Canis lupus familiaris: one gene and its partner. The protein of the gene in region 2 interacts with the protein of the main gene of each other region in a pairwise test. Links are inferred from orthologs where the notes say so. Each region holds a gene or a part of one and is shown on either strand. Other genes may lie near its edges.

Region 1 (3,660 bases), on a different chromosome or scaffold from region 2:
TGGACATAACTTAAATTCCAGCATGTTTGGTTTTTCTGTGGTATCTTTCACAGGTAAGAGGCTCTGAGGTTTATTTTCTGGTCTCTCTTTATTAAACTTCCTTGGTGAACTGTCTAATTTTGTGAGACAAATGCTCTCGTGCTCAGTGCATCTAAATGCAACTCTGTTCAGATACGTTTTCCTTTGATCCTTTGACTGGGGAGGCATTTGACTGAATTCCACTTCACTGTTTGAATTTTTGTCTAACTTGGTTTTATCAATCCACATTTTCTCAGGTTGATTTCCACCAACTATTCCCTTAGCATCCCTTGAAATGTATGCTTTAGACTCCTCTGAAGAGTCAGTCTTGAGGTTTTTACCATGGCTTGCACAAATATTTAATGATTCCTTACAAGTCTGTACACTGCTATTGTGTCTCTCATTTGATTTCTCCCAACTCCCTACTTGCGTGGAAAGTTTATTAGACTTCATGTATTGAGAATCACACTGTAAGTTTCTCACACAGCTTTTCTTTGATGCGTTGCTACCCATTGCTTCTTTGTGTTTCTGTCTTTGCAAATATTCCTTTGGTGTTAGAACTTTATTAATTTTAGATGAGTTACCCTTAGAGGCTGCGGATTTAACATTTGACATAGTCTTTTCTTTAACCCTGGCTCTTTCATTTGGGATTGACAAAATATTACATAATTTAAATGTTCCATCCCCATTTTTATTCTGCTCTTGTTTATCATATTTCTTCTTCTTTACTTTTGAATCAAGTATGCTCCCATCATCTAACTTCCTTTTATCCGAAACTTCTGTTCCAAAGCCACCTTTCAATCTTTTCTCTGAGGATACTGATTGTACCAAAGAACCATTTTTCATATGTAAATCTTTATTTTTATTTGTCAAGAAGCCTGCCTTTGTTTTTAGTGGGTGTGAGTTTTGTGCCATGAGCTTTTGGTGCAGACTCTCTTGAGAAAATTTTGTCATTTTATTACTGGTGTGAAAAGTTATCTCATGAAACTGCAGTTTTCCTTTTCTTTTGTGACTTTGCATGGAATCTAGTTTTTTATCACCTTTAGAAAAAAACTGACCTGATAATTCTTGTTCTGTCCTCAGTGATTTGTGTTTTGTTTTGGGCATTTCAGTTATATTTTTGCCTTGCTCTATTTCAGGAGAATGGTTTTTCTTATCTGGAAAAGTCAAAGGAATCTTCAGATTGTTATTTAGAGGACTCTCACATCCACGAGAGACATTTCTATCAGAAGTTCTTTCTCCTTCCTTACAACTTTTGATCTTCAAAGGTGAACACTGATTTTCCCCTTTGTCTTCTTTTGAAGCTGAGTTATTGATGCAATTATATTGACACTGGGGTACTCCTTCATAAACCATAGACAGCCACCCCAATGTATAGCAACCAACATCATCTTTCTCTGAATCCATTATATTATCATCAGTCTTTCCATCTGTATCTGCTTGTGGGTCACACGGACTCCCTTCTATTTTTATAGGCTCTTCTTTCTGATGTTCTGTCAACTTGTCAACCTCACAGAGTGGGTCGTCATGTTCAGGAAATAATTCTTTCATTTGCTCAGAGTTTAATACCGTAATCTGTATTTGTTCTGTTGAGTCCTTGAAGTCACAACCAGTTTGATCTTTTGAGATTTGGTTGGTTATCTGTTGGGCCACAGAACCTTCCTTTGTGTTCACAGCTTCAATACCATAGGGAAATTCTTTTAAAAGTTCTGACAGCTGATCGTGTAGGTATGAGAAAGATGCCTTATCATTGAGAATCTCACTTCTTGCAGGATCTTGGGCAGTATAATTGCAGGACGCATCACCTTCCTGAGGAATAGCAGACAATGAACATGTATCATTAGCTGTGCTTTCTTTTTTAGTGACATGTTCCACGTTGCTTTCCTCTAGAATTTCACTGTTGGCTTTAACATACTTCAAAGATAACGATTCTGGATGTTGTGGTGATTCTGCTGGTCCAGTTATTTTATGTGAAACATCTACACACAGTGAAAAATTACCATTTTGAAAACCAAAGTCTTTATTTTCAGTGAGGCTGTCTATTTGCTCTTTTTTACTAATCACTTGATGATTGGGTAGAGAAGATTTCTGTGGCTCAACCCTTTTCAAAGGAGGCAAGTTGAATATCTCTGCTATTTGGGAATTATAAGATGTATCACCTTCAACAAGAGAACAAATGTTGTCAATATGTAACATATCACCACTAACAATATCACTGTTCCTTGACTTATATGAGGCCTGCTGTTCACTCACAGAACAGTGGGGATCTGGTTCGGATTTGATATGATCTCCTTGATGGCTATTAGGTGTATCTTCTGAATTAGTCGATTCATTTTGATCTTCCTTCTGAACTGATGAGAACATCTTTGTATTTGTTGTGGTATCTGCTACTGGTTCATTAACATTAGCTTTCAACGCAGCAGTAACATTGGTATTTTCTGCCAACTGATTTTGTAAGCTACAAACACTGCCTTCTTTAATAACTGGATACAGTGTTTCAGGTACCGCTTCAGGTGTTACACCTTTGGCAGACAATGTTTTGACATCTGAAAGAATTAAGGGTGACACTACAGCAACCTGAAGTTCTGTTCCCTTTGTAACAGTTGCACTGGAAGACTCATAATTCTGTACTACTGTTGACAAAGATGTTTCTTGGGAAGTGTTTACCATCTTATTCTGAGAATTTCCTACAACTAAAAATGGACTCTTATCACAGGTTTCCACAGGCTTTGAAAATCCAACTGCTGTTCTGTTTTTTGCCTCATTATACTGTTTTTCTTCTGTAGGTTCTTTAGGTTGCTTTTTCCACAGAGAAAGACATGTTGCTAGCAATTCCATGGAAAAGTGATGGTCACTTTTAGAAGACATTCCACTCGAGGATTTCCGCTCAAGGCAAAAAGAGTTGTCTAAAACCTTGGTATTTATATTACAAGGACTTGGAGTTTCCATGGTTTTCAAATTCGTTTGGTTACCAGTGACTTGGGTATTTGAACTAATTTCAAAACTATGTGGTTTAGAGCCCTGAATAGTTTCACCAGTATTTTTAAATAATTTCTCCTGTAGTTTATCTCTACATGTAAGTAAACTGAGAATCAGCGTATTTTTATTTGGGTATTTTGAAACATATTCCTCAAAAGATGTAGACTGAGGAACAGAAGTTGTTTCAGAATTTGTTGGCACATTTGGTTCAACGTTGACATTTCCTGATGAAACCTGGGTGTTATTTAATGTTGTCTGGGTAATCTCAACAGTTGATGACTTTAAAGAAGTCCTAACTTTCATATCATTTAACTGGTCTGGCATTGGTAACTTTTCTGAATAGACAGAATTTCGTAAAGTAGAATTCACTTGGTTACAATTTCCCCAATTGAGGTCTTGAATGTTAGAATTCATTGTAGTGTGTGTTCTACTTGTTTCTTTTGCAGATTCCATTATGGTTGGTGGCTTATTCTCTGGAGTCAGTAGGGTTACCTGTGGCCCAGACTGGATTTGGACATTTTGTTTCACAGACAATTCAGAATTTGGAGCTAATTCATTGTAAGGGGTATCAGTTGTTTTAATACAACCTGCTGCCATCAAAAGATTTTTATTAATTTTAATTTTCCTTGCAAGTTCGGAAAACTTCTTTTTTATTTCTACTAA
Region 2 (3,373 bases):
ACATGGCAAAGAGCATGGTGTTTTCTTAAAAGGGCACCAGTTTTGTTGGATCAGGGTTCTATCCTTATAATCTCATTAAACCTTAATCACTCCCTTATAGGCCTTATTTCTAATACAGTTGCACTATTGTGGGGAAAGACTAGGGGCTCCACATATGAATTTTCATAAGGCACAATTCAGTCCATAGTACAATGCTTTCTTAGATTTAGATCTAAATACTAAATATTTTTGATATTTTTATTATACTTTTTTAAAAGATTTTATTTCCTTATGAGAGAGAGAGAGAGAGAGAGAGGCAGAGACACAGGCAGAAGGAGAAACAGGCTCCATGCAGGAAGCCTGACGTGGGACTTGATCCCGGGACTGACTCCAGGATCACACCCTGGACCGAATGTGGCGCTAAACCGCTGAGCCACCTGGGATGTCCCTCTTATTATACTTTTAAGTGTTTTGTGGTAAATGAACATGTAATTTTTGTATGTTGATCTTGTAAAAATTTGCTTTTATACAAAAAACCAGCGTATAACAGATCTGAGAATGATACCAAATTTTAACTTTTCTGAAAAAATTATTTTTTTGGAAAATTTCTTTATTTCAGATTTTTTGCCACACAGAATCACATAATTCTCAAAATCTAAGTTTACAAATGATCATCGCAAGATCCCTTATCCATATACACACTAATTAGACAGAGGGAAAAATATTCTGTACAATATTTTAGTAGTTACATGATTTGTAAGCAATAGTGAATTAATGGCAACAGAAGAACTCCTACTGCCTTACACATAGGATAACCATTCTCAAATACAAGAAACTAGGCAATAAAGAAAACTTTCTGTTCAGTTATAGAAATATGTTTAAAGGCATTTTATGATGAGAGAAATGTTTCAAGTTAGTACACAACCTATTGGGCAACTAAAACTGCTAAATAAGTTGGTACTTTTGCTCTTGAATATTTGTAGTATGGTATTACCCATTTATCTGACATTTAATAATGCATAAAGTTTCAAGTCTGGGTTCTCAAAACAGTTACTTGAAAATTTCGAATAATGTCTGGTGTACTCAGAGTGCTTTTTCATTTATCTTTTCTTCTTTCAGAAGTTTTTTTAATTTTTAAAAATTTAAATGATACATTTATTGGAGCTGTGCCTTTTCTACCACAAAGAATTAAATAAACTTGTCAAAAGTATGGTTCTGTCACTTTCAGGGACACTTAATTTGCTGTTCTTCCTTTCACATGCCCCTGTTAGCACATATATCCAAGTGACCACCTGCAATAGGTTGGTCTCATGTTATTAGTTACACAAATAAGGAAAGTTGTATATAACCATTCCTCCTGCCTAATCTGTTGAGTTAAAGCAACAGGGGCTCCCTAGCATCTAAATCTTTGCTTTTCTTTTCATATATATGTATATGAAAAGAAGATATAAATATACATATACATAAAATAGTAGACACTTCTTTCATTTATCTCTTCTTTTTAGTGGGACTGTGCAATGCTAGAACAATAATCTAGAATGTCCTGAATAGTGAATTCCATTGTAACACCAGAACCAGGGTAACAGCGAGCTATCAAACCTTCAAAGTGCTTGTATTGGCGTATAAATTCATCTTGCATAGAGTGCCACACCACCTATTACAAAAATGAAAACAAAGTCATTAAATTACCAATGGAAATATATAATCAAGTATGTAGAAATAATGTCAGGACATATTCTAAGAATTTAGCAGAGTGTCATGGGTAAGAACATGCATCTTTGCTCCTTCTACATACAAGATATGTGATCTTGAATATGTTACATCACTGCTCTGGGTCTCAAGTTCCTCCTCTGTAAACCAGGGTAGTAACAATAATGCCTTCCTCATAAGTTTCTTGTGAGGATTAGATGAGTGCATGTATGTAAGGTGCTTAGAACATTTGACATAGTAAGCACTCATTACATTTAGCTATTATTTTATCTATTACAATATCTAATACAGATGTGTATATGCACAACTATGCATGGAACTAAGACTAGCAATTAAATGAAATGCAACAGTTAATCCTTAAATTTCATTTCAGATGAAAGTTTAAAAATTTATCTCAAATTGATGATACAAAACATAGCTTGAAGCCATGAAGGAAATTAAGATGAAATAGATGGATTATATACGATCTAAGGATTTATGGTTTAGCAGTAGAAACTACTATGTAAATAACTATCAGGACAGAATCTGATATTACATTGAGATATTAGCTAATAGTAACAGGTGACATTTATTGATACTTACTTTTTATCAGCACAGTACAAAGTGCTTTATATATGCATTATCCTATTTAAGTCTCATGACTACCTGGTGAGGGTGGGTGCTATGACCATCATCACTACCCGATAGATGAGGGAATGTATTCTTCTAGGATTTTTCCTTGTAAACGCTAAATCCCATAAATCCTAAATTCCTGTCACCTTAAGTCTACTTACTAAATAATATACTTTTTGCCTTACATCTTTAGCCTTTGGTATTTCTTCTACCCGCCACTCCTATTATCTGTAACTATCTGAGACTTTAGGCGAACACAAATGCAATAGCCCTCATAAAGGCTTTGATGATGTTGAAGCCAGAATTATTCTCACTCATCTCTGGGCCTTTCAGTATGGCTCAATTTGGGATTTAAATCTGACTCTACCATCCATTAACTATGGGTTCTTGGTCATGTTACTCCACTTCTCCAAGCTTTGATTTTCTCATCTATAAAATGGCAATGACAATAATAGTAGTATCCACTATATGAAAGAGGTATCATTTCCACTTTTCAAATACGAAAACTGAGGCTCAGAGAGGTTAAATGACTTGCCCAAAGTCATACAGCTTAACCTGAAGCCAAATTATGAACCTGTTTCTAACTCTGGTTCCCATGCTTAAATCATTCCACTGTACTATACTCTATTCCGTTCAGTTACTCTCATCTGTAAAAAACAAACAAAAAGCCTAAAAAAACCCCTGCCTTACTCCCAAACAAAAGAAAAACTAATGCCTCAAAACAATAAAGCAGAAATATAAAATAAGCAGGAATAGCCATATATACTTATAAATATTATTCCTTTGTTCCTCACAACTCATTAATCTGGTCTGTACTTTATGGAAATTTCCTCCTGCACTATAATTAGAAAATCTGTAGTCTTTCTAGAGTACTCTTTTGGAGAAAAGCAATATACATAAAGATGTACAATCTAGGGTGGTGAACAGAACTAAGCATACCTGAAGTAAGTTTTCCTCTTCACATAAGTGTTTATCAACCTTCTTGTAGAGGTTATCTAGACCTTTTTTCACTTCCTTTCCAGGATACTCTTTAATGACTTTACGAAGTTCTTGTTTGTTAAACGCAAGTTGA

The links. The genes of interacting proteins can lie anywhere in the genome.
Region 1: the proteins of EXOC1 (region 2) and RESF1 interact in a two-hybrid assay, tested with the Homo sapiens proteins (2 studies listed by BioGRID and IntAct). The link is inferred for Canis lupus familiaris from reciprocal best matches to the Homo sapiens genes EXOC1 and RESF1.

Annotation. Positions count from the first base shown.
Region 1 is NC_049248.1:29,734,844-29,738,503, reverse strand, and holds part of RESF1 (retroelement silencing factor 1), read right to left. Parts: coding exon 1-3,660. UniProt on the Homo sapiens protein: Plays a role in the regulation of imprinted gene expression, regulates repressive epigenetic modifications associated with SETDB1.
Region 2 is NC_049234.1:48,934,519-48,937,891, reverse strand, and holds the end of EXOC1 (exocyst complex component 1), read right to left. Parts: coding exon 3,241-3,373; intron 1,634-3,240; coding exon 1,481-1,633; 3' UTR 569-1,480; downstream 1-568.